2 linked regions of the Lytechinus pictus genome follow. The protein of the gene in region 1 purifies or fractionates together with the protein of each later gene. This does not show direct contact. Links are inferred from orthologs where the notes say so. Each region holds a gene or a part of one and is shown in the gene's direction. Other genes may lie near its edges.

Region 1 (16,757 bases):
TTCATCCTTCTATCCTTCCTGCTTGCCCTTTTTTGTTCCAATATCTATCTTTATTTCCTATATTTCCTGATCCTTTCTCTCTGTGGTCATTTTTCTTCCTTTCCTTCTTTCTTTTACCTGCCTTCTTTATTAAATTTTCTTTTTTTATTTCCTTCCCTTATAAAACTTTTCTTTGCTTCTTTCTCCCTTCCTCTCCTTTTTCTTTTCGTTCTTTCTCTCCTTCCATTATTATTATTTTTTTTTCATTCTCTCCTCTCTTCATTCGTTCCTCCCTTTCTTTCCTCCTTTCTTTCTTTCTTTCTTTCATTCTTTATTTTATTTTTCCTTCTAATTCTTTTCCCTTAACCTTTCCCTTCCTCCACTCCTTTCTGTTTTTCTTTCAAAGAATGAAGGAAATATTTTTCTTTCCTTCATTCTTTCTTTCCTCCTTTTTACTTACTTTTTTTTCTTTCTCTCCTTTATTTTGTCTTTCACACATTTATTCATCTTCCCTTCCTTTCTTTTTCATTCTTTTTATATTCAATTTAAAGAATGACAGAAACCTTTTTTCTCTTAATTTCATCCTTCTTTTATTCTTTTTATCTTTTCTTCATTTTCCCCTTCATTTTTTCTTTCTTTCTTCTCAATTCGAATTCATCTCTTTTCTTTCTCTCCTTCATTCTTTTGTTCACCATCCCTTAAAGTCCCTTCCAATTCTTTATATTTTTTTCACAAGTCTATTAACACTGTGTATCCTTCTTTTATGTTGATCTTTTTGGTCAATTGATTGTACCGTTGCCCGGGCGTTGGCCCTATATCATTATACAAATAATGCATGCAGCCGAGTGCGTTAGTGGAAATGCAGAGCACGCGAGGTTTCTTTAGATAGGTGCCGCACTGTGCACGAGCCGCTGGCGGCGAGTGCCCAGCGTGCACCATCTGAAGAAACCGAGCTTTCTCTGCATTTACTTTTACGCACGACAGAGCAAGTGCATTATTTGTTTTATAAAATAGCAACACAGAAACAAATTCTTGAAAAGTTACAGTACAGTTTTGTTGGACTTCTCCCGGGACTTCTACCGCACTGGTTTGCTTGAGCGTGCAATGTCAATTTTCGTTGCGCACCTGCACCTTTTGCACGACCGTGCAGTGCACCAAAAAAGTTGGGTGTCATGTGACGCGTATTGGCCAATCGCGATGCTTGAAATAATACACCTATTTTATAATTTGTAATATCTGGTCACCCTGCCCCTGGCCTGGTCGGTGGTCTGGCAACTGCCTCGAGCTCGATGATGTCAGGATTCTGCTGTCTATTAAACTTTCATAGATAAAATTGAGGTGCGTGCAGGATTTCTTTTTTTTCTTTAAATTTGGGTGTTTTTTTGTACCCAACCCCCAACCTTGAAGGTATCCATGTAATGTTAGTAAATGCATCTGTCGTCAGGCTCCAGCCCGCGAAGCGGTCCGGAGCTCTCTGGGTTACGCCGCCGCCAGTGCCGGCTGGCTGAAGTGGGTGCGCCGCGCTCACATGCATCGCGGCGGTCAAATTTGCTCAGCCAAGCTCATCGCATGAACCACATTTGTCTGAGGCTAGAATCTGAAGTTTATATTTACCGAACGGTACTCAAACTTGTTAGATCTTGAATTCTCGCTGTCTCTCTGGTAAACCAGTTCGAAAAGTCCAGGCAGCAGGAAAAATTGAACAAGGTTTTAGCTGTTTATTCTTCTCAACAATCTGCTGACTCCGCTCTGCCACTCTGCTCTATGAATACTGGAAATACGTGTGTCCCACATAATGTAAGTTCGTGTAGGGTACTGGGTATAGATATAGATGGGCGTAATGATGGAGGGCCCCAAGTCTGCGCACCTAACAATTTAAGTTAAGATTTAACATGAATTTCTTCATATTTCACAAAATCTTTCAGTTAATAATGTTCCTTATATTATCAAGAGTAAGTGTACCAAATTTCTCATTAAAAAAATGAAAGAAAATATAGGATTTTCTTGAAAAAACCTCGGGCAGTCATTTTCAGATTGAAAAAAAAAATGGTACCCCATGTCTGCGCACTCATTCACTCTGCACACGATTCAGGGATTTTGATGAGAAAGGCTGCATTTTGAGGTCGTAACATTAAGTGCCCTAAATTCATTATTTTACCACCATTTTGAGTTGGATTTTTTTATCAATACCTGTCTATGCATTGCATGTGTAAAGTTCGTACTCGTTGCATATCTTCTTTTAGTTTTACTTTAATTTTTTTAATTTAATCGCGCAGATACGCACAGACTTGGGGGAACTTGCCATACAAAGGAATTTTAACAATAAAGATGATATTGATAATATAAATAACAATAGTTGCTACTTATAAAGCACACAAGTACACCTCTCAGTGTTAATAGCGCTTCAAGAAAGTAAAAATACTATTACTAGGGCCCAGACAGCTGGCAGCTGTCTGTTTCGAGGAATTTTTTCACATTTTTTTTCTCATTAAAAAAAGATGGATTTCAGCCGTCTTACTACTGGTACTTTGTAATGAATTACATTTTCTCAAGCTCAAAGTGACTTTTGCATTCAAATTTTATACTGTAAAACACATTTTCATTTATCCTTTACAATCATAACTGTTTGTGTGAAGGGTATGAATTGATAATGTGTTTTACAACTATAAATTTGGTACTGCAAAATCGTAAAATAGCCTTAATTAAAAACGGACATACAAAGCTTTTCGACATGCACTCATTGGAGTAAAATCGCATGATAAACGGCTCGCCATTTAGCGTCCCTTGTCTGGTTACGTTTCTATTATATATTGTTTTGCTCTAGCATTTTAATCATTCATGCGATTTTTATACTCCGATGAGTGCAGGTTGGAAAGCTTCAGTATGTCAGTTTTTAAGGCTATTTTACAACTATGAATTTAACCCAGGCAGATTGAAACCTGTCTTTAGCTTTGGTAAAAGGTCATTAGTGTGAATTGAGTTTCAAGTGTGTCATGTCTATTCTTCCAATCTTAAAAACTTGTAGTAGCCATCTGATCTCTTTTTAAACGCCAATTCTCTCTGTTTCGAGGAGTTTTGTTTTACATTTTTATGTATTTCTCCTCGTACACAGACGGCTCGCGATCGTGCAGCCGCCATTAGGGGCAAAATGTAAAAAATCACCCGACGGGGCTCATCGATTTTTGTCTTAATTATGTCATAAAAATATATTAAAAGAACTAGACCAAAATAAAGATTATTATTCCGTTTTGGCCTGAAATGCACCAAAACGGGAAAAAATCAACTTAAAAGGACAAAAAACAGTGACTTAGTTCGGCTGTCGCGCAACTCCACTTCCCTGGTTTATCCGAACTGAATACATAAACATATGGCCATCAAGTCCCTGTACAGATCGAGTTTAGAACTTCGGTCTTTGTAATTGTTGAGCGGAGCCAACAGAGTTCAGCGGAACAACCAATATAACGGACCGAAGCTTTTTGTCTAGCCCAGTCCATGCTTTGGAATAGGTTTTATATCACATGGAAAAACCACATAGATATTTTGTTTTTATTCGGCAACTGATCAAAATAAATTGTTCATGTAAAATCACACAATTTATAATAACTCGGGAGTCGACCGTTCAAAACGAGGGAGACACTGGGGTAGATTGGGGTCTCAATAGTAATCTTAATCTTAATAAAATGTGGAAACAGAAATTATACACTTACCACGATTATATGGATGAAGGTCTATCGTGACACACAAATCCTGACATTGAGGCACAGACTGGAACCTCAAAAAATGAAAAGTTCTGCTGCGATACCTCTCCTTCTTTCAAAATTCAAAACAAAATGGCCGATCGAGACCGAGGCTATATTTTGGTCGAATGGCCACTTGGGTTAATCATCACTTGATCTAATTTTCATTTCACCTAATGTGTTTTATTGCCACTTGGTACAATTGCATTTTTTATAGTCTAATACCAGTTTGTCTCATTATCGGTTAGTTTAATAATACGAGTTGGTCTAACACCAGTTCGTCTAATTATTGGATAATCTACTAATAAAGGTCTATAACGAGTTCGTCTAATTATCGGTTAGTCTAATAATAAGAGTTGGTCTAAACCAGTTTGTCTAATTATCGGTTTTAGTCTAATAATACGATTGGTCTACTACCAGTTCATCTAATTATCGGTTAGTCTAATAATACGAGTTGGTCTAAAGTTCTGCTTTTTCGTCTCATCCCACTAGTCTATTATTCATTTTGTCTATATTGCATTTTTGTTTTGATGTGCAGTTCAAGTCTAATTGCCAATGTGTCTAAATATCAATTTGTCTCATTTCCACTTGGGCTAATGGCCCGGGGGGCCACTTACATTGGCGAGTGGATACCATGCATGACCAAAAAAACACGTAAAAAGGATGTCTTTTTCAAGATAGGGCACGTTACGTACGTAACGTAATAAAGGGTGTCAAAAACACTAAAATAATGAAAAAAGGGTATCTATTTTCGCTAGGAAAGCTACGTGTTTAGGGTCAAATTTGCGAGGGTGTAAAAAATTAAGACTAAAATGTTTTATAAAGGATGTACTTTTTGCCCCAAGAGTCAACACTTCGTGTTTAGAGTATGATTTTGCGCGAGATGTGGGAGGTGCAGGGGCTGTACTAAACCCAATCAGGTAAAACCGACGACAGTGCACATAACAATAAAAATATCGTTGTACTTGTTTAGGGGGTCAATTCAGGGAATACTTGCCAAGAGTATTGTATACTTGTTAAGGGTAGGGTTTCACACACACCAATACTTGTTAAGGGGTGTATTTTCAGAACATGGAAAATACGTGTTTAGGGTGCTTTTCGAGACCCCATGGTCGTGCATGGTATCCACTCGTCAATGGAAGTGGCCCCCCGGGGCTAATGGCCTGTTGGGGGTACCCCCTTTCACCTATAGTTAGGCCTTCACCTACCTATAGTTTATTTGTGTGTTTCTTTCTCATGGTTGACCATGAACACTGAATGAATTCATTTTTGCATCGCATGTTGTCTGCTTTAGGCTTTATGTTATACATTTTCTGTAATGTTATTGTAAATTAGAAATTAGAGGGGATTGGGGAAGGAATAGAAATATACCTACCGGTACTCGTATAATTAATCAGAATGAGAAGGCAAGATGAATGACTACTAACAAAAATTACAAAATTATTCAAAACAAAATTAGATGATCTAATGGCTTTATAATTTTTAGAAACCCACAATACTACACAAACTATTTTTTTGTATGCCTACTTTTCTTCAAGTTCAAGTATCATCTGTAATGGTGCATAACAATAATCATATAAAGGCCTTAACACGTTTACCAGATACGTATCCACACGATACATTACATTATGAAATCTTCATTCTTTTCTTCATAGTAAGCCTGAGTCATATCGATTATTTTGAAAACCGGTGTTCGACAGCTTTAATTCGATCGAACATCGATGCATCAAAATTTGAAGGCGGAGAAAATCGAGTCTTTTTTTTGCTCCGGCCGGCCGTCGATGCATGCGCTATGCATGCACTACATGCACTGACGGTCTGCGCTGTCCGGGTGAGCGTTGCAAAAGCAAATGACAGAGCAAAGTTCGTTTGTATTTTCCATGATCACAAAACGCAAAAAAGGCCGGGGAGCAATGCAGAATTCTTCCCAAAATATCTTCAACAATGATATTTGCAGATGATAACATATAAGTTTAAAATGAAACAATATTAAGGACAATGTTCGATAATCAATCCTGACGTGATAATTATTTTTTTAGACAAGTGCACTCACTCAAGTCGATCGTCATGTGATGTCCGCCATTGAAAATTGAAACGAAATACAAACGTTTCACATCAAGCTCTAAATTCATATTAATGATTATCATTTGCAAATTATTGTTGAATATTACGATTAAATCATGTTCTATCGTCATGATATTAATATTGTTCATGAAAAGCAAGATTTACTTTACGTTGATCAAATCAATTTTCCGGCCATTTTCTGATTTGATTAAAGCACAGTACTGCGCATGCAGGATGAATGGTGACTTCCATTCATAAATTCATCGTGCATAAATTATCTCGGCACGAGCAGACGAGTAAGACTCGAACTATGATCGAAATAAACTTTAAATTAATGGTGAATAGGCATCATAATTACACAATTGGTTTCATTTTGGGGGCAATATAAATGAAGTAAGTAGTAGTCAAGTTGGATTTTACTGTTTATTTTGATGTCTGATTGTGTGAACCAAATGAATCGGCCGGCCGACGTATTTTTTGTCTCGCCTGCATAGCAGAGCGAGACTATAGGCGCCGCTTTTCCGACGGCGGCGGCGGCGTCAACATCAAATCTTAACCTAAGGTTAAGTTTTTGAAATGACATCATAACTTAGAAAGTATATGGACCTAGTTCATGAAACTTGGACATAGGTTAATCAAGTATTACTGAACATCCTGCCTGAGTTTCAGGTCACATGACTAAGGTCAAAGGTCATTTAGGGTCAATGAACTTAGACCATGTTGGGAGAATTATTTTCAAAATCTTAACCGAAGGTTAAGTTTTTGAAATGACATCATAACTTAGAAGTATATGGACCTAGTTCATGAAACTTAGGCATAAGGTTAATCAAGTATTAGTGAAGATCCTGCTCGAGTTTCAGGTCACATGACCAAGGTCAAAGGTCATTTAGGGTCAATGAACTTTGGTCAAGTTGGGGGTATTTGTTGAATTACTATCATAACTTTGAAAATTTATGGATCTAGTTCATGAAACTTGGACATAAGGTTAATCAAGTATTAGTGAACATCCTTCCTGAGTTTCAGGTCACATGACCAAGGTCAAAGGTCATTTAGGGTCAATGAACGTTGGCCAAGTTGGGGGTATTTGTTGAATTACCTTCATAACTTTGAAAATTTATGGATCTAGTTCATGAAACTTGGACATTAGGTTAATCAAGTACCACTGAATATCCTGTGCGAGTTTCAGGTCACATTACCATGGTCAATGGTCATTTAAGGTCAATGAACTTTGGCCGTGTTGGGGGTATTTGTTAAATTACCATCCTAACTCTGAAGGTGTATGGATCTAGTTCATAAAACTTGATCATAAGAGTAATCGAGTATCACTGAACATCCTGTACGAGTTTCAGGTCAGATGACCATGGTCAAAGGTCATTTAAGGTCAATAATAATAATAATAATAGGCATTTATATAGCGCCATCTATCTAGAAATATTCTATTCCGAGGCGCACAAGAAAAGAAAGAAAGAAAGTTTGGATGAGTGTCAAAGTGCCAATAACTAATACTGTTAGAAAAGATAAGACTTCACTTTAGATTTGAAGGTCTCCAGTGATGGTATCATTCTTAAATATATAGGCAAATTATTCCAGAGAGAAGGTGCTGAGGCAGAGAAAGTTTGCGCACCATATGCAACTTTGGCCATGTTGGGGTAATTGTTGAATTGCCATCATAACTTTGAAAGTTTATGGATAGAGGGAATGAAATGTGGACATGGGTGTAATTGACAAGTCTTAAGTCACCGTTCAAATGTCATCTATGGTCAATGAATGTGGTATTATGTCATTATATGAATGGTGTTTTTGTAAATTATTATTTTATAATAGTTTTCAAAGTTAGCACTGCTGCTATATTTAATCGCGTAATGCAGGCGAGACTGCCAGAGGCGTTCCACTTTTTTTTTGTTTGTTCGATGCACCGATTTTGCAAAATCTGCACCGGCGTTCAATGACGTCGATCGAACATCGATTTTAAAATCGATTTGACTCAGGCTTAAGAAGTAAGAATCATGTAATTCTGATGAAACCCCTGCCATTCCGCCGTTATAAGCTGCTATCTCCCCAACATATTGTTCACACAAAAATAGAATCTATAGCACTTGATGATGATGATGATGATAAGGACGGTGATTGCTGTGATAATAATATTCCTATTCCTTCTACTACTACTGCTGCTGCTGCTGCTGCTGCTGCTGCTGCTGCTGCTGCTGCTACTACTACTAGTAGTACTACTACTACTACTACTACTAATACTGCTACTACTACTACTTTTACTAAGTACTACTACTACTACTACTACTATTACTACTACTACTATTACTACTACTACTACTAGTACTACTACTACTACTACTAATACTGCTACTACTTCTACTTTTACTACTACTCCTACTACTACTACTACTACTACTACTACTACTACTACTACTACAACTACTACTACTAGATCTACTGCTGTAGTACTTTAGTAGAACAATACTGTGTCTAGGCTTCATATTAATAACAATTACTACTACTAATAATGATAATATATGTCTTTATTCTTCTGATGAGTATTGTTATAATTTTCAGCATCACAGATATATATATCAGTATTACATATTATGAAAATCATACTTCATTATGATAAAGCATTGAGCAACTATCTTGCCATCAGTAGGACTGCATAGAGAGGTTTTGTGTGTATACCACCACCCTACCCCTCCTGATGGCAGGCATTGACTGCTGCATGTTATATTCAAGCAAGCCTCTAAAATAACAAAAGAAAAAGGGTGCTTTGTAGACAAGAATGAAGGTAGAGTCCTTTAAAATGCTAAAGAGGTCCTGACCAATGAAACCATGCTCTCCATAAATATAATTTGATGAGGTCAGGCAAACGTCTGAGATCCCTTCCCCGGCAGAACCTCACACTTCATAAATTCTTTCGTTCCAGTTTCAATCCGTGCATTTAATAGCCTTACTTGAAATTTAATTACCCCCCCCTTCCTGCCTTTATCTTAATTTCTCTTATCTTTGCTTGTTGATTTGTATAATGTTTACTATATGTATCGTGTAATCTTTTGTGTGTATCATGTGATATTCTAAATTATTTTGTGCGAACAAATTGAATTTCCATTTGTACACGATCGCAATTGGACAATAAAAATATCTGAATCTGAATTCATTTATCCATGACCATATATGAGACTAAATGGACATTAAACCAAACAGTCATTCAACCATATGTCAATAAGACTAAATGATAAGTAGCCTACACTGTAACTGGTTATTAGACCAAATGGCAATTAGACTATAAAGTGATAAGAACATCATGGTTCGGTTTCATAAAGACTTGTTATGATCATGCACAATTTCTATAACAAATTTACCATCAGCCAATCAGATTGGAGAATTTCAGTAGCTTGAAACTGTTATTGCAAATTTGTTATTATTTATGAAACGGATCCCATATGATATTAGCCAAATTGGGTGTAGCCCAAATGAATACTAGACCAAGTGGCATGTAGACAAAGTCAATGTTACACTATCTGGAAATTAGACGAAGTGGAAATTAGCCGAAGTGGAATTTAGACCAAGTGGTGTTAGACCAACTGGGAATTAGATCAAATAATAGCCCATCTGGTCATTAGACGAATTAGGTTTTGGACTAAGTTGAAATTAGACGAAATAGACAACAGAAAAATTGGTTGTACATGTAGACGTAATGGCTTTTGAACATGTGACGTTGGACGAACGAGAATTTATTAGACCAAGTGGTAGTAAAACAACTGATAATTCATCAAATGGATGTATGTACTGTAGAGGGCTAGAGGCAATATACAGAAAAGCAAAAATATATATATTGCAGAAAGATTGAGAGATTGTTTAAGAGAGGAAAAGATGCAACCATGAAATGATTATCACTTCCTGCTGGGTAATATCTAATCTTCATGTTGCCCTTTTTTATGCTTGATCCTCAAGTCGCAAACAACCTTTCCACAGCTGTAAGCTTTGCCTTGTATCATCTCCAGTCATTTCCTCGGCTAAAGCCGTGTAACATCCTTTTCTGTTTTAATGAGGCTCCACAATAGCCTCATTATCGTTGAGATTAGATATCAAATCTTCTTCCATCAGTCAGTTTGGTGGATCCTCCCTTGTACTAGTTACACATTAACTATCTTAGCTTTTGTCATAGTGCACAAGCTGGTATCAACTCATAGAGCCGGCTGATGAGCGAGCGAGCAAGTGGATGAGTCGAGGATCTTTCCCAGTGTCTGTGTTGATCTTTGCTCATGTGTTGTATGTGTTCATTTAGTTGTGTTGCAGCTACTTCTTCTGTACAAGGAATTTATCATTCAAGGACTTTACAAGCAAGTTTGCTTTCATGTATGTACATGTACAGTATGTGGGATTATCATTTTCCTTTTGTTGTCTTTCACACTGCAAAGGTGCAAGAGAAAAACATTTGGTGTGTGCTTAAGTGCTTAACAAAGCTATTTGATATAGTACATGGAAATAATCGTGGACTTCAGACATGAATGTTTGTTTGCCATTTTTAAATGCTTTTTAGGAGGATTACTCATTCATGAATGGTAATACAGTCGCATGTAGAATTGAAAAAAACCCACATAATTTTTTTTGGGGGGCAAATTATGCTGTGAAAGACTAATTAAAATGTCTAGAGGTATGATCATTTTCTTTTTACAGAACAATGGATGAATGAATGATATTTCCATTATCTGTGGTTCTTGTAACAAGTGTGAATATTTTTTTCTTGTTTATTTTAAACATCTAATATGCTTTTCACACTGCACTTTTTGTCCTAAATTGGTGGGGCTAAGGGGGGGTCTTAGCCCCACCAATTTCCCGGGGTTAAGCTTAGCCCACTTCGTTTTCACACTACGTTTTAGCAAAGTGGGCTAGCACGGTAAATAGTACGGTACTATCTGGCCCTGCAAAAAAGCAGGTTTAGCCGGCATATTGCGGTGCTAGCACCACAATTGCGGTGCTAAGAGATGCAGTGTGAATCGAAACCGGGCTAAGGAAAAGTGGGGCTAAGCATTAGCCAATCACAGAAGTCGAAATTGCACGTTAATCGCGCTCTGTATGGTAAAATCATCAATATTAATGAGCTGTGTGATTGCCCGGGGTTAAGGTGTTAACCCCGGCTAAGCAAATAGTATGGGGTTAAGAAAGACAGTGTGAATCGAAAAAAAGATAGTATGGGGTTAAGGATAGTCCGGGGTTAAGGATAGTATGGGGTTAAGGAAATGCAGTGTGAAAAGCATATTAGCATTGAATGTGCTGAAGATTTCAGGATGTAATCTTTGTCAGAATCCATTTTATATGTAAAGGAAATGCTAAAACCGCTATTTTTGTCTCACCTGCATAGCAGAGTGAGACTATAGGCGCCGCTTTTCCGACGGCGACGGCGGCGGCGGCGGCGGCGGCGACGGCGGCGACGGCGGCGTCAACACCAAATCTTAACCTGAGGTTAAGTTTTTGAAATGACAGCATAACTTAGAAAGTATATGGACCTAGTTCATGAAACTTGGCCATAAGGTTAATCAAGTATTACTGAACATCCTGCCTGAGTTTCATGTCACATGACCAAGGTCAAAGGTCATTTAGGGTCAATGAACTTAGACCATGTTGGGGGAATCAACATCAAAATCTTAACCTAAGGTTAAGTTTTTGAAATGTCATCATAACTTAGAAAATATATGGACCTAGTTCATGAAACTTATACATAAGGTTAATCAAGTATCACTGAACATCCTGCATGAGTTTCACATCACATGACCAAGGTCAAAGGTCATTTAGGGTCAATGAACTTTGGCCGAATTGGGGGTATCTGTTGAATTACCATCATAACTTTGAAAGTTTATGGATCTGATTCATGAAACTTGGACATAATAGTAATCAAGTATTACTGAACATCCTGTGCAAGTTTCAGGTCACATGATCAAGGTCAAAGGTCATTTAGGGTCAATGAACTTTGGCCAAATTTGGGTATTTGTTGAATTACAGCCATAAATTTGAAAGTGTGTTGGTCTAGTTCATAAAACTTGGACATAATAGTAATCAAGTATCACTGAACATCCTGTGCGAGTTTCAGGTCACATGATCAAGGTCAAAGGTCATGTAAGGTCAAAGAACTTTGGCCACGTTGGGGGTATTTGTTGAATTGCCATCATATCTCTATAAGTGTATTGGTCTAGTTCATAAAACGTGGAAATAAGAGTAACCAAGTATCACTGAACATCTTGTGCGAGTTATAGTAGTTTTCAAAATCAGCACTGCTGCTATATTGAATCGCGTGATGCAGGTGAGACGGCCAGAGGCATTCCACTTGTTAGTAATAATAAACATTATCGAGAGAAGGCACTTGACTCAAATTTAATTTGTAATGGCAAGGATAATTAAATTCTAATGGATAAAAATGCATTCAATTACTGGTAGGCATGTATGATATTGTAATGTTAGAATATACTCAAGTGTAGCCCACATTGACCCCTTTTCAAAGCTAAAGGCGGGTTTTAAAGAGTGTCTGTATTGCAATACATTGGTTTTTAATAAACATTGGCCTGAGCACATCAGAGGTCCGAAGAATCCAGTACGAACTTGCTGTTTAGTACATGTATGTCCATTTGACAGATTTTTCTCTCAGTTCATTTTACATAAACTTTTACAAAGTTATGTAAGCAGCTTGTTTTGAATTGATCATGTGATACACATGCATGTACATGTAGCTGGGATCCTATGGTGCATGACAATATATACAATGCACAGATTGAGATAGGTATGCATTGTAATATTGACAATTTGACTTTGTTGTAGTGTATTAAAGCATTAATGTTATTGTATATTAATCACCAATTACTGTCTCTATCTCTCTCTTGCTTCTCTCCTTTTATCTCTTAATATTACAGGTATGCAGAGGTTCAGCCATTGTAGTTTATACACACTGTATGAAAGAAACAGGAAGTGGTATACTGATGGTCGTCATTAGCAGAACTGTGATGTTTTTTAGAGAATTTTCCATGCATTGACTCATGTTATTAAATGTGCAGTGTTGTGTTTTTGGTGTGAATTTATGGAGGAAGGCAGTCGATAAAGGAAGATCGATTCCCTTTCCTGGTGCTTAGCGTGAACACCTTGGCAGAATGGCCGCTGCCATTGATGATGTCATAATGGACAAGGAGTACTCGGAACCAGATGAGGACCAAAATGAGGACCAAAATGAAGACCAAAATGGAGACTATGAAAGTGAGGACCAAGACCTGAATGGCTTAGACAGCGAAATAGACCTGATGAACGTTGGAAGCAACAATTCGGGACAAAGCGACAGTTTACAATCAAGGAATACCCTAAAAAATGATAACCTGGCTCAGTTTGGTATCCCACAATGCTCTTGGACGGTACATCTCAATCATAAATACAAAGAAAAATGGCGGCCATTGATGAGGGTCAGAGCACACCAGATGAAGAGCTTTGTTCTTCCGTCGGTCAGGTAATCAAGGATTTAATTTTTTTTTAAAACTCTTTAATTCACTCATTTTTAGTCTTAAAGTCAATCCAAAATACCAAGAGTTTCAACCCTTTCACTATAAGACTTGAGTCAATCAAAGTATGAAGGATTCAATCTTTTCACCCCTGAATTTAAAAAATAATGAAAATGATAAATCAGATGAAAAAAATCAGTACATGAAAATGAAAATCTTGAAAATTGTCCATGTTTGTTTTGAGAGTATTATCCCCTGCAAAAAAAGGAGCAAATTAGTGAGCTGATGATGAATTAGCTCATTTTTTTTCTAAAATGGGAAGTTCACCTTGATGATATGTTGGTTTTAATAAAAAATATTGGTGCGGGTTTGATGACATGATCCATCAAAAATATTAAGAAAGTTATGAACGTTCAAAAGTAAAAGTTTTTAAAGCTAGCAGCTCCCCCATCTATATCGTGTATTTTGATTTCCTGTTGTTTTAAATGGAACTTGATGAATAAAAATGTTTCTAATAGAAGGGGGTATGAATGATATGTTTAAGGATACATTATGTATATTTGAAAAGTGATATGAATTGATTTTACCTCTTTAATATTCGCTTCCAAAGGACTTCGATATTACATGTATAACCCTGGCGGCCGTAATTACTTACATCGCACACCCTTTTTCAAAGAATTGATTGCTACCAGGTACCCATATACGTCACCTGGGTCGAGTGCATCATAATGTGGATAAATTTCTTGCTGAAAGAAACTACACCATGGATGAGATTTGAACCCAAGACCCTCTGTTTCAAAGTTCGGATACTAATCCTCTGGGCCACAACGGTCCACCTGCAATGATTGATTATAGTTGAACGGCATTTCCTCATCCCTTTTACAATAATGGACGTTGATTCTGTTTTGATACTTCAGATATGCCCAACTACACCTTAAAATGCGGCGAGCAGGAAAAAGACCATTCATTGATGTGTTACATCCAAAGAAATTTAAACCGGTATATGGTAAGTGGGGTCTGGGGGTGGGGGTCAAGGTTGGTGCTATGTCAGTCATTGATAGGGTTCTCCCAATTTAGAAGAAAAGAATAATTAGTCAAGTTTGGCGCTATGTCAGTCATTGATAGGGTCTCCTAATGTTGAAGAAAAGAATAAGGAGTCAAGTTTGGCGCTATATCAGTCATTGATAGGGGTCTCCCAATGTAGAAGAAAAGAATAAGGATTCAAGTTTGGTGCTATGTAAGTCATTGATAGGGGCCTCCTAAGATAGAAGAAAAGAATAAGGATTCAAGTTTGGTGCTATGTCAGTCAATGATAGGGGTCTCCTAATGTAGAAAAAAAGAATAAGGAGTCAAGTTTGGCACTATGTCAGTCATTGAAAGGGGTCTCCCAACGTAGAAGAAAAGAATAAGGATTCAAGTTTGGTGCTATGACAGTCATCGATAGGAGCCTCCTTATGTAGAAGAAAAGAATAAGGGGTCAAGTTTGGCACTATGTCAGTCATTGATAGGGGTCTCCCAACGTAGAAGAAAGGAATAAGGATTCAAGTTTGGTGCTATGACAGTCATTGATAGGAGCCTCCTTATGTAGAAGAAAAGAATAAGGGGTCAAGTTTGGTGCTATGTCAGTCATTGATATGAGCCTCCTTATGTAGAAGAAAAGAATAAGGGGTCAAGTTTGGTGCTATGTCAGTCATTGATAGGGGCCTCTTCATTGCTCTGTCAGTGCATAAATTAAAATTGCTAGCGTTAATTAAGGCTCATTGTCCAGAATTTATATTAAACAATACCTAAACCTGTTCAATGTGTGTAAGTTGAGATATGTGTGTGTCACTAATTTTTTTTCTTTGTTATAAAAAAACTGAATTTGTTTTTCTTATATGATCATGTTTATCCCAACCCCACACTGCTAATTACTTATGTTTAAGAATACAATTTATGTTCAGAGGGGCTTTCTACCAAACCCACGTCTGCTTTTTAATAAGTTGCCCATTTTAATTTTCATATTTTCAAAATTATAATCGGTAAATTGTTAAATTATCAATATGTGTATTTAAACAACGATTCATTTATTTCCTGTTTCTTTTTCTTATTAATGATTGAAATATTTCTTATGACATTTTTCCAGTTTTCTAAGTTCACATATGTTTGTTGTTATGTTCAATATTTGAAAATGGAAAAAAAAAAATTGAAAACTTTAATGTTTGACCCTTTTTATACATATTTGCTTGGAGTTTCTTGCTCAGACATGTACAATATATGCTTTAAGCGCATTATAGACAACCAGATTATTATTATTTTTCTCATTATTTGTACAGAATTTGGTGGATCCACAATATGGTGAGCCATCTATCGGTTGCAGCGAACAGACCAAATTTCTAACTGTGGGGGTTACATCATGCGCAGTCGCAGGCAGCGCACAGTGCTAGTGCTTCAAAAATGAAAACCATTTGGCAAGAATTCACCAAAAAAGGTCTAAATTTCACAGAGAAATATGCAGGCAAATTTTTCTCCTACCTCCTGGACCCTAGTAAATAGCATATCCGGTCGAGCCGCGTCGGCCAGTGCTGAATAATCGCATGCTTTCACTTTAGTACTAGAATGCGTAACAGATGTCGACTTTTTCCCATGATGCATTGCTAATTTTAGCCTGTCAGCTGCAACCAATAGATGGCGCACCGTATTGTGAATCCACCGAATTGAGGAACAATCTTTGGTTCATGTGTGATTTTGTTCTGCCTCTTATTTTATTTTTCCTATTTGTCCTTGTATTTTCTGTAAACATGTATATTTTCTTTTTTGTGCCTATTGGCATATTATTCTGCATATACCCAGCTTACAAATATCTCAATCTCAACCTCAGTTTCTTTTGTATTTTCTGTAATGTATAATGGCAACCGCATACCCTAAGATTGGTCTGTGACCCGATGTTGGAATAAAATGTAGTAAAGCTTGATACGAATGTTGAGACAGACATCTTACTGTATAAAGTTCTAAATCATCTTGCGAATATGTTTATAAAATTAGAATAAAAGTGAATTGGATATCTACCGGTAGTCATAATAACGTCATTGCAATCGTACGATTGGCTACCATTTTGAAACCAATTTGGCCTCTTCTCCAAAATAAAAGCTTGCAAAGTCAAATTAATATTTTCATAGTCAATTTGAATCTCAAATAAAAATGTAATTTCATTCACATTTTAAGAAAATAAGCGAAATGCGATTTATTCCAAAATCGGAACCTGGGGGGGGGGGGGGCTTAAGTCGTACATTCTCTTTTGTGTCTGTTTGCGTATTAATCTGCATTTCTTTTTTTTAATAATTATATTTCAATCTTGCTGCGTTTCTGTTGTGCAGGTGTACCGGTAGGTGGTATCGGGTGCGGTGCAATAGATCGGGGCTGGAAAGGAGACTTCTGTCGGTGGTCTCTCTCTCCAGGTCGATACACTTATGATAATGTGGAGTTAAATCAGGTACATATGCAGACCTTATTATAC
Region 2 (17,185 bases), on another chromosome or scaffold:
CTTCTTGTACTATTCCCGGAGTATGCGAAGAAATTGAATTTATGGATAGTACAGAACAAGCCGAGATGTGAACCATGGAATTGAGATATTTCTACAGTGTTGATTTGTAGATTTTATTCAATCTGAAATGATAAAACAAAACAGCATATTTTGAGTCATCTCATCCTGAATTAAAACATGCACTTAAATATGAATATCTTGTGTAACCTGGTCTTGATGCATTTACATTTGTCCATCAAAGTATTACTAAATATTCTGACCAAGATTGACTTTCATTGTTTATAGTAAAAGCATGGATTAAGATTAATATAAACCAACTGAAAGTCTGAATGTAGCAGACAATATTATTTTCTATCAAAATCACTCCTTATATAAAAGGCATAAAAAATCAATGCCCAATTTTGGCAGGGCGCCAACAACGCATAGTTGAGTCCAACTATGCCGAAACAAATCCCTAATAGCTTTTAAAACTGGTTTTCTCTAAATTAAATGCACATGCAATTATTCATGAACCAAAACTAGTTTTGCCAGAAACTTATTTCTACCTCTTCAAAATACACTTCATGAATTCACCAAATGTTCATGTATCAGACTCATGAACATGTTTTTGTATCCTTTTGTATAGATCTATATTTATGCACTTTCACCTCACAATGAGCAACTTGTCTTAAGCATAGATATGCTTTAAAATACAATATAATCTTTGTAATATGAAAATAACCCACATATTTTGCCTCTTCATTCTCACTAAAAAAAGAAGTCTTGTATTTTCATGCTTTTGCTTAGATTATGAATCCAAACTGAACTAAACTTCCTGGAAATGTTTATATTCACATTTTCCAACATAACCAGTTGCTTCCAAAAAACTAAACAAAGCTTTCAACTGAAGCTTTTCATTAATTAAATATTCAGATTTTAGACATCTTAAAACTTTTACTTTATAACACAAATTTCCGTCATGTGCATTAAAGACAATTGTGATTAGATTTCACACGAGCCTTTTGAGCCAAAAAATTGTCTTCTAACTTCAACCTCTTTTCACGTGTACATTTATAATGAATTTTTACTTGTTTTTCGTCAATAACTCTCTTTGAGTTTCTTGTCATAATTATATAATCAACACGTTATCTCCCCTATTATCTGATTAATCTACGAAACTTACTTCTATGACGGGACACAAATGAACATTGCTGAAATTCGGACATAAAAGGTGACGAACTGCAGCACCTCCGTTAACTCATGAACGTGAAAAATCTGATGCTGAAGATAGCGCACTGCTGTAAATTGACGTGTTGACAAATTTGATATGGTATCTTTGAGATAGATCATTAAAGCAAACGTTATAATAATTATATGGCGTTTAATCCAAAACAAATCACTTTTTTCCAAAGTTTAATCTTCTCTATAATTTAGCCTTTCTGAAGGATTAAATTTTCTCATATATTCAGCTTCTTACCAAAACAATTTTCCAGGGCTCTTTTTCCACTTTCCAGGGCTACAATTTCTGGAGCTATTTCGCGGCTTTTTTGCGTTTGTGTGTGTGTGTCTGTGTGTGTGTGTGTATATATATACACGGTAGCTAGCATATACGGTGTAATCATACGCGTGTACTGTACATGCGATCGCGACGAAGCTTCGAAGCAGCGCGGCGCGAGCTAGCGAGAAGTACGTACCGGTACCATCTCGAATTCATAGGCACATGTACCACATGCACTATTCACGCCCGTAAACAGAGATTCACAGGTAAGTTCTCTTAGCTGACACGATCCTATGATGGACTCGCGTGCGCTGAAATGAGCAATGTTATTGTGCCACTGTATCTTGTATTTGCTTGTGTGACTCTGCGGGCAGCTCCGCGGTGATTTACGTACATATATACGTGATGTTCGCAACTGCAGTCGGGCAATGAGTTTGGGATTTTGTAGCACAATTGGTGTGCGCGTAGGAAACAGCTCAAGATTGTAATATAAGCGGTCACACGCAAATGCAAACAAGTACACATTTAAATGCAATATAACGTATAATGTATAATTTAAATGCAATCACGTACGTATGCATGAAATGCTACATAAATATACAGTGTTGACGGGGGCGATTATGAGTTTTGCAGTCGCCCTCGTGTGAATGTTTTTAGCCCTTTTCCGGGGCTCTTTTTGGACTTTCCGGGGCAAATTCGCCCGCCGCCCCCGTGTAATTTTTTGGTTGGAGATATCTATATTTGATGAAATGTCCACCCTTTGAAATTTCAGAGTTTATTGCTCTGCGCGGGGAAGAATATCTTCCTCCCGGCATATACACTTCTTCTCCTCTGTTTGGCGAGTTAAAGATATATGCACTGTCGCTAAATTGTTTGTATTCAAATCTGATCTTTCCAAGGGAAGTATTCAATATATCTTTGAGAATACCCTTTTCTCGGGACCCTTTTCATGGCAAAAAAATTGATAAAACGGTTTAGCTTCCGCGCTTCGCGCGGGGTTATGATTTTAATTTCCTCCATTGTATTCCTTTTTGTGCGTTCACAATCACTTTTGAAAACAAGGTTCAAAATCACAATATAGTCAATTGAATTGGAGCTGATATAGGTACTAGAGTCAAGAGAGACGGCTCCTTTTCATTTTAATTTATGAAACACCAAAAGCTTCGCGCTTCGCACGGGAGGGGGAAAGTCCCCCTCCCTGCACCCACCCCCTAGGGAGCGCGCTTTGCGCTCTGTATTAAAGTGTTGGCACGCTTTGCGTGCATTTACCGCCCCCTCCAAAATGAAATCCTGGCTACGCGGTTGGAGAAAGAGTTAATTTTTTCATGGATTATGATGGAAAATTTGCTTGCTAATATTTTATATTAACTAAATAATCGAAATTCCCTAAAATTTTCAGGGCTAATCCAAAATGATAATATCATTTGATCCTGAAAAAAATCATATCAAACAATTAAAGCTTTAATTTCTCATTAACTTTCATTTTCTTTGTCTCCAAAATATGCCCTCGAACCTTTTCCAGACATATCTCTACCCCGCATTGAATATTCATGAAACTCGCTGTGCATATTCATGAATATGTACGGGTTTGCATGCTAAGTTTTTGCTGTGCCGAAGACTTATTTTTCGAGAAATCACTTTATGAAAAGGGGTTCTGACACAAAATAACAAGGAGTTATGAAACCAGCGAACCCAATTCCCGCACGCCAGAGGTGGGCCCTATAACACAAGACGTTAGAATTGATCGTATTGCTAATCATGTAAAATAACCGGTGCAATTAGCTATGGGACTCAGCCCTGCATGCAATCAATTATGGTATAGTACGTCCGGGTCTAAGTGTTTACATGCATTTGAACCGTACTAACCGAGCTGAATGAAAGTACAAGGTAGGCATAGAAATGTCCTTTTTTTTTCTCTTTAACGTATGATTTTGCTTAAAGGGATGGTCCGGGCTGAAAATGTTTATAGCTTAATAAATGGAGTAGAATTCACTGAGCAAAATGCCGAAAATTTCATCAGAATCGGATAACAAATTTATAACAAAGTTATTGACTATTAACGTTTAGCAATATTTTGTGAAAACAGTCATGAATATTCATTAGGTGGGCTGATGATGTCACATCTCCACTTGTTCTTTTGTATTTTATTATATATGAAATTAGGATTATTCAAATTATTTCCTCCAAGAACTAGAAAAATTGGATTGACATCTGATTTATTGCATTAGATATTTATTGCTGCAACTTATTTTATTATAAGGGAGACATGTTATTCACACAAGTATGAAATAATGAAAAAATTATGATTTTATGTGAAAACAGACAGTGGGGATGTGTGACATCATTAGCCCACCTAATGAATATATTCATGACGACTGTTTTCACAAAATATTGCTAAACTTTATACTTCAATAACTTTATTATTTGTTATCCGATTTTGATGAAATTTTCGGCATTTTGCTCAGTGAATTTTACTCTATGTATAAAGATATAAATATAATTGCCCGAAGGTCAGTAAGGTGTTACGGTCCACTTGCAGAGATAGATTCAAGGAATCAAATCTTACTGGGTACCCATTCACCTCACCTAGGTCGAGTGCAGCACAGTGTGGATGAATTTCTTGCTGAAGGAAAACACGCCATGGCTAGGATTCGAACCCACAACCCTCTGTTTGAAAGGCGAGAGTCAGAACCACTAGATCATGACGTGCCCACTAGCTTTATTACAGTATAAAGTGAAAGCAACATATTTGTAAAATAAATTATTTAAAATATTTAAAGATTATTAAGTTTACATCTGGCTCTACATGTGTGTGCATGCAAATTATTCACAGCGATTAGTGGCCGAGATCTGAGGGGGGGGGGGGGTGGCAAATTGATAATCTTGAAAATGTGATTACATGTGCAACCATCCTGATTGACATTTGCTGCCTGAGACTGTTCAAACCAATTTTTTTCAAGCAAAATACATAAGTGGCAAGAAAACGAATAAATTTGCATTTTTCTGTCTGTTCTGCTTAAAACTGGTTGTAATTTGTTAATTTTACCTTTCGATATGGTTATACCTGTAGGGTCTGTAAAATTCAGGAAGTCACAGGACATGGTGATTTTATTTGATGTCATTGTGAACTTCCCCTTTAATCAATCTGTGATCACTTTAGACTTTGAACTGTTTAATTATCCCAGGTCAGATTGTTTTGTTTCATACATGTACCTTGTATACATGTCAAATGCTTTGTTTTTAAATAAAACAAGACCTGAAGTTTCTGAGACAAATTTTTTCCGACTCTGGCAGCCATTTTTTATTTCAAAATGGCTGCCAAAGTATGGATACAAATTAGTGTTGAAAATAGTATATTGATACATATTTTGTTTTGACAGATTTTTAAAGAACAAGTTTGATCATGTTGTTTTCGCCTGTGATTTAGCTTGCTATTATAACACTTTTTAAAATCCCACAGAAAGAAACACCAGTAATTCATTCATCTGATAAAAAAACATTGATGAAGTATGTGATATGGTATGTAATGTCAGTTACCGAAAACATGAACTTGTTTTTCTAATTTCCTGGAAAAGAGGATATACATGTATTATATGAAACTTGGTAGATTTCCTCTCTAGGTAACACCCCTCCCTTCTACACCAAAATTAAAGATTACTAATTAACAATGAAGCCATAGGGTACCATTAAATATATGTAATGTCAGTTACCATGATAAAACGTTGGTTACCAATATTGAAATGCAAATATGTGGTCAATTTTATGGTGAAGAAATATTGTATACTTGTTATTTAAGTCTTTTACTTTAAAAGTCACACCAGAAGAGCTTGTTATTGACTTTTAAAAGGTATACAGGTGTAGTTCACAAGGAATAGCCTACTATATGAAATTATGAAGGAAGTTGCATTCCCATCGTGCAAAAAAAATTACTATGAAATTGTTTTGTACATATGCACTTACCAAGTACCTAATTGTTTGTATCAGACAATTTTTTGTTTGGTTTTCGGGGGGGGGGGGGGGGTGGTAGAGGGTACTTTTCCCAACCTATTGCCTAAATCTGCAACATTCTTTAAGCTTAACATTGTGATGAAGGGGATTTCCAGGGTCCCTTTTTGTCTCACCTGCATAGCAGAGTGAGACTATAGGCGCCGCTTTTCCGACGGCGACGGCGGCGGCGGCATCAACACCAAATCTTAACCTGAGGTTAAGTTTTTGAAATGACAGCATAACTTAGAAAGTATATGGACCTAGTTCATGAAACTTGGCCATAAGGTTAATCAAGTATTACTGAACATCCTGCCTGAGTTTCATGTCACATGACCAAGGTCAAAGGTCATTTAGGGTCAATGAACTTAGACCATGTTGGGGGAATCAACATCAAAATCTTAACCTAAGGTTAAGTTTTTGAAATGTCATCATAACTTAGAAAATGTATGGACCTAGTTCATGGAACTTATACATAAGGTTAATCAAGTATCACTGAACATCCTGCATGAGTTTCACATCACATGACCAAGGTCAAAGGTCATTTAGGGTCAATGAACTTTGGCCGAATTGGGGGTATCTGTTGAATTACCATCATAACTTTGAAAGTTTATGGATCTGATTCATGAAACTTGGACATAATAGTAATCAAGTATTACTAAACATCCTGTGCAAGTTTCAGGTCACATGATCAAGGTCAAAGGTCATTTAGGGTCAATGAACTTTGGCCAAATTGGGGTATTTGTTGAATTACAGCCATAAATTTGAAAGTGTGTTGGTCTAGTTCATAAAACTTGGACATAATAGTAATCAAGTATCACTGAACATCCTGTGCGAGTTTCAGGTCACATGATCAAGGTCAAAGGTCATGTAAGGTCAAAGAACTTTGGCCACGTTGGGGGTATTTGTTGAATCGCCATCATATCTCTATAAGTGTATTGGTCTAGTTCATAAAACGTGGAAATAAGAGTAACCAAGTATCACTGAACATCTTGTGCGAGTTATAGTAGTTTTCAAAATCAGCACTGCTGCTATATTGAATCGTGTAATGCAGGTGAGACGGCCAGAGGCATTCCACTTGTTTACTTTCTAGGATTCTTTTGAGCATTGCCTCGCTAAAAGTAATTTCCTGGTTTTTATACAGGTCTGTTAGTAGTGTGATACTATTTTGTTTTGGGTTTACAAGTATAGATGAAAAGTGAAATTTGACAGTTGTGATCGATGTTGCATGGATCTACTAAAACTGTTTTTTTTTTCTAATTTACAAATAGTTCAGTTTCAGTTTAGAAGCTGGAATTTATTTTTTGTTGACAGCTTAAAAAAGAAATTAGCAAAGAAAATGATTAAACAAATTATGATGAGAATTGAAATCCGACAGATATGAACAAGCATTGCTTGCACTGACCAGAATAGAAATCAATAAAACTACATGGCTGCATTAGATTCGGGGGAGGGGTTCGTGTAGCCTAGGGGATGAGACCCTTATTCATTTTGCCTTTTTTGAGGGGAGGGGGAGGTTGGAGAAGGAAAAGGTTTAAAAAGTCAATATAAAACTGATGAATATATTATGGGTGTATAGTCAGAAAAATCCATGTGTACAGTCAATGCAATATTAAATTACTATAGGAAAACATGTAGCTGCTATGACCCCCCCCCCCCCGAGTAAGTAAAACATACATTTCTTATCTTTTGATAATTAAAAATGTGAAGTATTATGAAACTTTTATGATTTTAAAAAGCCTTACATATAAGTACCTACTAAGAAAATTATGCCTTTGAAAATCATATAGCACTGGTAAATGTTAATGTGTTTTGTCAGTTACCTACAAGTAATGATAAAAATGTTCAAACCAAAGAAAGGAATTAAGAAAAAGAAAGAGTTTTTTCATTGAAATGTTCCTAGAAACTTGGGTATACTTCCACATCAAGCTCACTTTCATGTGAAGCCCTGCACAGAAGATACAATGCAATGATTCCACACATTTGACTTCCATGTGTTATCTCTATGGCAAATTCAGTGTAATGTCAGTCACTGTAATGTCAGTTACCAGCATGGTTGTGGAAAAATTATCATAGCCCCCAAAAGACAAAAACGAATTGTTTAATATTTTGACACATCTTAACCTAGTAACAGAGGTATATTTAGCCTACATATTCAAATTATCTACTCAGGGACATGAGATGCCTCAATTTTAATGAACACCCTGAAATTGCATGTCCTTTTGCGTAATGTCAGTTACCGACACATTTTTGCTTGCTGATGCGTAAAAAAATGTGGTTACATAGGAAAACTTAGTATCAGAGTATACAGCAAGGTTCACTTTATTAACTCTATCAAAAGCAAACTCCCATCATTTGTTGTTTTTAGAGATACACACCATGAAAGGTGTGAAAACATTGTGCCGTGTAATGTCAGTTACCGTGAAAATGCCCAAATGGTATTACAACATGGTACATGTAGTAGTATGAATATTGTAAACTTTTAGCAATGAAGTGTGGATATCACATTTTTTTTTGCATGAATTAAGAATTCTAAGGGGCACGGACATTTCTTAAATGAAAGGGAAGGTGGTGCTCACTTTAGGTACTTCAGTCCAAGGCCATTAAAAAAGGGCATCAATTAAAAGGGCATCAATTAAAAGGGCATCAATTAAAAGGGCATTAATTAAAAGGGCACTTATTTTGGCCTAAATGTAAGTCTACAAATATTTGGATAGGCATCAAGGCTATTTTGAGGGCAATGGCGGCCATAACCTTGTATGGCCTTCAAAGATTACTTTGCGTGCTTGTAAATGGTGGCCTTCATGTGTAGTGTAAGTGTTCAAATATTCAAGTGTTCAAGTATAAGTGTAATTATTCAAATATTTGCAAAAATGCTTTGGGCAAAGGACACTATTAAATATTTTTTAAATTTTTGTTTATCCTCATTAGATTGATTTTTAAACTGTTCAAGTTTGATGAGGATAGAAGGACCAAAAACGAAGATTTACTTTAAATACATTTCTCTTGCAATATAACCTAAAACCCTGTAAGGACCGGGGGGCATGATGGTCCCCCGTGCTTTATTTCGGAAGTGCGAAAGATAATGCCGCGAAATGTTTCTTTGAAGTCTCGTGCAATTTTTAAGACCACATTCAAGCTGTACGGGTATAGCATCGCGACGTCATGTGACTTATTAAAGAGACAGCATGCCGAAAATGGCTCATTTGTGTGCAAAGTCTATTAAAGGGAGATGAAATGAAAAGGGTGACTATATTTCATTCTAATTGGTCTGCTTAATTAATTTAGGGTTTACTTTAGTTGTTAAAGGGTCTGTAATAATTTCCATTCGTTTGGAAAAAAATCAGGGTAAGATAAAATTTGGATTCTAGAAAAATAAAAGTATATTTCTTTTGGCATTTGGCTTTTTAGATGAGTGTGAGTAAGATAGTAGTTGCTTGACTCAAGGTAGTGATTTCATGTATTTTGACATTTTAACTTGCAGGTGGATAAGACAAGCAAGCGTACAGGAGGAGAGTTAGTGGCTGAGACACTGAAGGCTCATGGAGTCAAGTTTCTTTTCACGCTTTGTGGTGGTCACATATCGCCTGTCAATGTTTCTGCTGAGAAACTTGGTATAAGGGTTATAGACACTAGACATGAGGTAAGTCTATTTATGATAATAAAACTTCTTCAAATTGTTCATTCTTATTATTTGTAACAACAAAAAGAGGACAACAAAAATATGTATGAAAAATAATTAATAAGCCTCCTTACAATTAAATATTTTAGACCATCAGCTCAAAACCTAGCAGTCACAAATCCTGAATGACATTTTTATCAACAGTGGGTCTCAACACAAGATTACCATAATACTCAAGTAATTCACAGAAAATGATATGCACTGTATTTATAAGCTAAAAAACCCCCAACAAAAAAGGAAACCCGTTTTTGTCTCACCTGCATAGCAGAGTGAGACTATAGGCGCCGCTTTTCCGACGGCGACGGCGGCGGCGTCAACACCAAATCTTAACGTAAGGTTAAGTTTTTTAAATGACAGCATAACTTAGAAAGTATATGGACCTAGTTCATGAAACTTGGAGATAAGGTTAATCAAGTATCACTGAACATCCTGCATGAGTTTCACGTCACATGACCAAAGTCAAAGGTCATTTAGGGTCAATGAACTTTGGCCAATTTGGGGTTATCTGTTGAATTACCATCATAACTTTGAAAGTTAATGGAACTGATTCATGAAACTTAAACATAATAGTAATCAAGTATAAGTGAACATCCTGTGCAAGTTTCAGGTCACATGATCAAGGTCAAAGGTCATTTAGGGTCAATGAACTTTGGCCAAATTGGGGGTATTTGTTGAATTACCATCATAACTTTGAAAGTATGTTGGTCTAGTTCATAAAACTTGGACATAAGAGTAATCAAGTATCACTGAACATCCTGTGCGCATTTTAGGTCACATGACAAAGGTCAATGAACTTTGGCCATAATGGGGGTATCTGTTGAATTACCATCATAACTTTGAAAGTTTATGGCTCTGACTCGTGAAACTTGGACATAAGAGTAATCAAGTATCACTGAACATCCGAACATCCTGTGCGAGTTTCAGGTCACATGATCAAGGTCAAAGGTCATGTAAGGTCAATGAACTTTGGCCACGTTGGGGATATTTGTTGAATTACCATCATATCTATGTAAGTGTATTGGTCTAGTTCATAAAACTTGGAAATAAGAGTAACCAAGTATCACTGAACATCTTGTGCGAGTTATAGTAGTTTTCAAAGTCAGCACTGCTGCTATATTGAATCGCGTGATGCAGGTGAGACCGCCAGAGGCATTCCACTTGTTAGAGATAGATTTCACAATTATTAAATACATGTATGCTTTTACTATAAATTTTATACTCTTGGCAAGATTGGAATCTCATCTCTAATTTGAAAACAACAGCTTAGCAAATTGTTCAAGCATGGCTGATATAAACAATAAATATTGAGACATATCAGAAGCGATTTGTGTAGAAACTCATGTGTGAATTTGAATCCACTCTCTTTTCAGGGATTAGTTAGAGAATCTTAACAAAGAATACAAAAGAAATGCTAATGAGCCAATCGTTGAATAATCACGATCGTCGTATCACAAACCAATCTTGTCAAATTTTTGTGCGCAACCTGGTTTTGACGTTAAAATTTCAAACTCATCTTGCTCATTAATGCGTGAAGTGTTCGTCTCAAATTAGGTATCAAAATAAAGAGAAATGATTGAATTATAAGATTAAATGTAAATGATATCATAATTCATTTGCCTGTGAAGAATAAAAACATGGGAATCTCAGTTTCCTTTTTTCTGGGACGCACTGTATATGGATAACTTTGTAGTGCTCTTCTAATACTACCTGTATGATTAGGCGACGGCAGTGTTTGCAGCTGATGCTGTAGCTAGACTATCTGGGGTAATTGGAGCTGCTATTGTTACGGCAGGACCAGGTCTTACTAATACTATCACAGCAGTCAAGAATGCACAGATGGCAGAATCCCCTCTTCTCTTAATGGGAGGAGCCGCAGGTACATTATTAAAGGTGAGTTATGGGTGAATTCATTCTTCTTAGGAGGGGTGAATGCTATCAAAAAAATAAATAAAGCTAGTGATAAATACGTCAAGAAATTATTCCAAAATTTGATGCTTGCACAAACCCTTTATTATTATATTTATTAACATTTATTAACAAGGTGGATATGTGCGCAATATAAATACCCTATATTATTATTATTATTATTATTTATTAATGAAGAAATATGTTACTTTTTCCAAAGTGGGTAATGTGAAAGATCATTTGCTCAGGGAGAGATGTATTCTTAATGATGTCAAGAGAAAATGATTTAACTGTACATAGCCATATGACATTGCATGAGACATCAAAATAATAAAACTATGATATTCACTGATTCTTTTATTTGATGGATGTGCTAAATCTTCATAGAACTTACTTGGCATCATGGCCAACTTCTTCTTTTGAATTAATGATAAAGAGCTCATTGATAAACCTACTGATCTAAAAAGAGATTTCAATATTATTTGCTCAAATTGGTTTTAGGTGATATCTTGACATTAGAAGCATTGAATACTGAGTATGGTTCAAAGGTTCTCATACAATCTGTGTTCTGTTTGTGTGAACAGATAGAGAATAGATTAAATACAATTGAGGATTTGATCTTTGAACTTTCAGTGTTGACCAAGACCAAGTGATCAATGTATCACCAGACTTATCTTGCAGTTCATGGTTTTCTGATGAATATAGTAGGAGTTATTATTTTGATTTTTTTTTTTTTTTTTTTGGGGGGGGTAATCTTTTTTTTTTTGGGGGGGTAATATGGATATTATACTGTATTACGCTTTCAGTACCAACACTAGCCTGTAATATAGGCCAGCAAATGCCCGTGTCCTTGTTTGTGCCATCATTACAGTCTTGAATAGCAGTTTAACATAACATTGAAATCATAGATTAAACTTAATCAAATATTTAAAGAACATTTTATTATTTGTATAAATTTGTTTTTGATCTTCAAATCAGCATCAATTTGGATGTTATACCCTCTTTCACAGTTTGAAAAAAAGTGTTATGAACAATAGCAAGACTTAATGAAATTAAAATTGGACTATTTTGCATGAGTTCGAGATCAATTGCTCTTAATCATTAAAATTAAAACATAATGATAAATTTATCACTTTTGGCTACATGTACATATTAAAAGATCTGTGCATAAAATCACGTTTTTGTGCTAGTTTGGGTCTGACATGCACTTGCAAAGTGTTTCGAAAATTGGAACCACGTATTCCCACGTTCGCGAATTTGGTCTTAAAACTTGCATGAGACTTGAAGGAAAGAGGTCTTGAAATATTGCAGTGTGAACTTTTCATGTTTCACATTTATCACAAAAATATGTTCAAGGAGTTGTTATGGTTTCATGAAGAAGCATTAATGCTCTCTTAATAATCAGGTATTAAAGTTACTTGGCTATGAGATGCCATTCATTCATGTATACATGACATCACAATTTACAAGTAAGGCTATACATTTCTATTTCAACATTGAATAGATTTTATGATAGTTTGGTGAGGTATTTTTATTTGAAGTATAGTTTATTTGCTCCTATGACATGCTGTATATTGTACTAATAATTTCTGTATACGCTATTTTTTCATTCATAGGGTCGTGGAGCACTCCAAGATATTGACCAAATGGCATTGTTCAAACCGCTATGCAAGATATGTATATCAATATCACAGATTAGAGATATCATACCAGCTATGAGAAGAGCAATACAGATAGCACAGTCTGGTACACCAGGTATGTTGGCACTCTGGTCTAAAGAATTGTCACAAACATCTTCATTTTATCAGCTCATGTGTCACTCAGATACTGGGAATAATAATTGAATTGGTTTTTTTTTTTGCTCTTGAAACATGAAAGAGCACTTTGAATGTAGGAAAAATTTGGCTTCCTGTGACCTACATGTAAGTTAAACTAGACTTCAGAATACAGGCCTTAACAGCTGTAGTCATATCCTTCAACTCCTCTATGTGATTTTGACGGAGCTGCAGCTAATATCTCTGCTATGAATGAATACTGTTATGCTAATGAAATTGATTGGTTTGATCCAGAGAGACTTCAATCAGCCGCTGCAGAGATCTCATCTTACTTTTAATAGTCAGGATTTTCTTATCTAAGATTTTATTGCATTTTTTAAAATAAAAAATATCACATAATCTTAGATCTTAGTCTTGCTGCATTAGACCTACATGTATGTATTGCCTCTGTAGGGGAAGGCGGGGTAAGTTGAGCTACTACCCCCAGGCCAATTTGAATTCAGACATTTTGATGGTGACATATTGATGACCCATTGCATAACATCTAACCCCACCACATTGTCTCTTCAACATTGAAACAGAAAATAGTTTTTCAGAGGGAAAAATATAAATTTCAGCCCAAAAAGTATGAATGTATCAAACAGATAAGTGCATTTTACCCACATTATTCATCTTTAAATATAATAAGGTAATGAGATGACAATATTGTTAGTCCAGGTACAGTCTTTTACATGATGAGTGAATATAAAGTAATATGTGGATGTGAAAATATCACATGAAGTTTTGACTGACGAGGGTAGGTTGAGCTAGCTAACATGGGGCAAATTGAGCCATGGTAATTCATATGGTAATAAAAACAAACACACCTTAAAAAGCAATCATATGCAGGCAGAAAGGAGAAAGTTCACAAGACAGAACTTGTTTTAGTATTTGTAGAGAACTGCCAAGTAAAAATACTTTTTAAATAAAAGTTATGCTGGTTTTTGCCCCATAGCCTTTTTACATATTTTTTTTTGTGGCTCAACTTACCCCATGGGTAGGGCAAGTTGAGCCATTTTACTTTTTTTTTCAAAGTGACGGTGCCTTTCAGTGTGGGGATAGAAAGTTACATATTGGTAAAAAAAATGTTTCCAAATAATGAAATTTTACGGCAAGGTACTTGTACAAGACTATTAGTCATATCGGTCCTAACATGCAAAAACACAAAATAATGGCTCAACTTACCCCGCCTTCCCCTACCATATTTAGTGTTTTAGCTAATGTTGTAAATCGGATCAAAAATCAGATCGAAAATCGGATCGGCAGTTAAGCTTCTAAAATCGAAATCGAATCGAAAATCGAATCGGCGATGTTTAAAAACAAAGGAATACATCAAAATATTGTTCGCGGTCGCGCGCATCTTCCTGACAAAGTCACAAAGACGAATGCATTGGAATGGAAGTCGCCAACATGCGCGATCGTTTGGAACATGTTTTAAAGCCAGGGGTTTTGAGGTGTTATTGCTTTAAAATAAACCGAGTGATTTTTATTAGAAAGATAAACGAAAGACGCATCTTCCGAGCGAAGGCGCAAAGGAAAATAAAATGAAAATATTTCTCATAGATCACAGGTTAATGAACGATCGGCAGGACATCTTTTAGAAGTATTTTTAGGTGCTAGCGATTTAGAATTATTGGAATGATCTCTTACGACGCATCATCTTAAAGTCGCAAGTGCAATTAAAATGAAGTAGAAGACGCAAGCACGCACGATGATTTGAAATATGTTATTAAAATGTTTTGGGTAGCTAGCGTTTTCAAATCAATTTGAAGTTTACGGCGGGGTCCGCTATCACCACGAGGTTGAAGAGAAGATGTCTATCATCATAAAGGGGGTAAGAGAGTAGCGCAGTGAGCTCCGTCGGTAATACGACCTTTCAAAGTTCACGGCGGCATCCGCTATCACCACGAGGTTGAAAATAAAATGTATATCATCATAAACGATGTAAGAGAGTAACGCAATAAGCTCCGTCAATAGTACAGTCTTTAAAAGTTTATGGCGGGGTCCGCTATCACCACGAGGTTGAAAATAAAATGTATATCATCATAAACGATGTAAGAGAGTAACGCAATAAGCTCCGTCAATAGTACAGTCTTTAAAAGTTTATGGCGGGGTCCGCTATCACCACGAGGTTGAAGAGAAGATTTATATCATTATAAAGGGGGTAAGAGAGTAGCGCAGTGAGCTCCGTCGGTAATACGACCTTTCAAAGTTCACGGTGGCATCCGCTATCACCACGAGGTTGAAAATAAGATGTATATCATCATAAACGATGTAAGAGAGTAACGCAGTGAGCTCCGTCGGTAATACGACCTTTCAAAGTTCACGGCGGCATCCGCTATCACCACGAGGTTGAAAATAAAATGTATATCATCATAAACGATGTAAGAGAGTAACGCAATAAGCTCCGTCAATAGTACAGTCTTTAAAAGTTTATGGCGGGGTCCGCTATCACCACGAGGTTGAAGAGAAGATTTATATCATTATAAACGGGGTTAGAGAGTAGCGCAGTGAGCTCCGTCGGTAATACGACCTTTCAAAGTTCACGGCGGCTTCCGCTATCACCACGAGGTTGAAAATAAAATGAATATCATCATAAACGATGTAAGAGAGCAACGCAATAAGCTCCGTCAATAGTACAGTCTTTAAAAGTTTATGGCGGGGTCCGCTATCACCACGAGGTTGAAGAGAAGATTTATATCATTATAAACGATGTAAGAGAGTAACGCAATGAGCTCCGTCAGTAGCACGATCTTTAAAAGTTCACGGCGGGGTCCGCTATCACCACGAGTTTGAAAATAAAATGTATATCATCATAAACGATGTAAGAGAGTAACGCAATAAGCTCCGTCAATAGTACAGTCTTTAAAAGTTTATGGCGGGGTCCGCTATCACCACGAGGTTGAAGAGAATATTTATATCATTTTAAAGGGGGTAAGAGAGTAGCGCAGTGAGCTCCGTCAGTAATACGACCTTTCAAAGTTCACGGCGGCATCCGCTATCACCACGAGGTTGAAAATAAAATGTATATAATCATAAACGATGTAAGAGAGTAACGCAGTGAGCTCCGTCGGTAATACGACCTTTCAAAGTTCACGGCGGCATCCGCTATCACCATGAGTTGGAAGAGAAGATATCTATCCTCTTAAACATCGCCATAGATAATACCGCGTCTTTCTCCCTGAATAATGCGACCTCTAAATAGCTAGCACCTCAAAAACAATCTTGAAATATGTTCTGAGCGATCACGCACCGTAACCAGATATACGCCGATTTTTTATTTTCGATTTTTTCCTTCAAGGGGCATGATCGAAGATCGGCAAGTGATTGCCGATTGTGGTGAAATCGAATGGAATCGGTTGCCGATTGCAAAATCGGTTACAAGCTTAGTTTTAGCTGCAGTCTCCACATTGATTACATGTAGCAGCTTTCTCCATTACTTACCTGATATTAATGATGTTGATTGTTGCCCACATGTCACTCTCACTCTTCATTCTGTAATTTATGAACTGCATCTCAATACTGCATGGAAGGTGCTATCAATATCTGTTAATGTCAAGTTTCTATCCTGCCAATGCTGTTGTCTATCAGCATCTCAGCATTAGCATAGTAGCTTTACACTAGCTGAGAATAAATGTATACACAGTATCGTCAGGTACATGTGGGCCCCGTCTTACAAAGAATTACAATTGATCCAATCAATCGTAACTCTATGGAAATCCATCAATGTCATAATTTTTTTCACAGGAAATTTTTACAGTGTACTTTGTAAACGAAGAGAAGCACAGGGAATTTTCAAGAAAACATTGACTGCATGAATATACATCATAGATAGAAAATATTTTGATTAAACATGCATAATAGATGTTGACCTTGCTGGCCGTCCATAGTAATCTTTTGTAAGACGGGCCTCAGAATATGAACAGGTACATGAATGTCAAGTGTGCATGTCCTTAATATTAAATCTGATTGTTACTCTGTTAATATTTTCTGCATTTCTAATTGTTTTACAGGGCCAGTTTTCATTGAGTTGCCTATTGATGTTCTGTATAGTTATGAACTAGTTTTGAGAGAAGTAGCAGCAAAGGGCAAACAATCAGGCTTTGTTAATAACATTATAAACTGGTAAGTTACTCGTTATCAGTCTCAGTTTGAGGCTTGGTCAATAAACATTGTAAACTGGTACATGTAAGTTACTCATTATAAGGCTTGGTTAATATAACATTGTAAACTGGTAAGTTACTAATTATCAGTCTCAGTTTAAGACTTGGTTAATATAACATTGTTAACTGTAAGTTACTCATCAGTCTCAGTTTAAGACTT

The links.
Region 2: the proteins of non-lysosomal glucosylceramidase-like (region 1) and 2-hydroxyacyl-CoA lyase 2-like purify together in Homo sapiens (co-immunoprecipitation; 3 studies listed by BioGRID and IntAct, counting the BioPlex papers as one, with this or other methods). This does not show direct contact. The link is inferred for Lytechinus pictus from reciprocal best matches to the Homo sapiens genes GBA2 and HACL2.

The regions. Positions count from the first base shown.
Region 1 is NC_087249.1:11,579,876-11,596,632, forward strand, and holds the start of non-lysosomal glucosylceramidase-like, read left to right. Parts: upstream 1-9,748; 5' UTR 9,749-10,142; intron 10,143-12,488; exon of another isoform or gene 12,489-12,558; intron 12,559-12,688; 5' UTR 12,689-12,922; coding exon 12,923-13,269; intron 13,270-14,178; coding exon 14,179-14,267; intron 14,268-16,617; coding exon 16,618-16,733; intron 16,734-16,757. UniProt on the Homo sapiens protein: Non-lysosomal glucosylceramidase that catalyzes the hydrolysis of glucosylceramides/GlcCers (such as beta-D-glucosyl-(1<->1')-N-acylsphing-4-enine) to free glucose and ceramides (such as N-acylsphing-4-enine).
Region 2 is NC_087250.1:656,329-673,513, reverse strand, and holds the start of 2-hydroxyacyl-CoA lyase 2-like, read left to right. Parts: upstream 1-7,888; coding exon 7,889-7,912; intron 7,913-8,945; coding exon 8,946-9,104; intron 9,105-10,862; coding exon 10,863-11,033; intron 11,034-12,664; coding exon 12,665-12,803; intron 12,804-16,875; coding exon 16,876-16,987; intron 16,988-17,185. UniProt on the Homo sapiens protein: Endoplasmic reticulum 2-OH acyl-CoA lyase involved in the cleavage (C1 removal) reaction in the fatty acid alpha-oxydation in a thiamine pyrophosphate (TPP)-dependent manner. Involved in the phytosphingosine degradation pathway.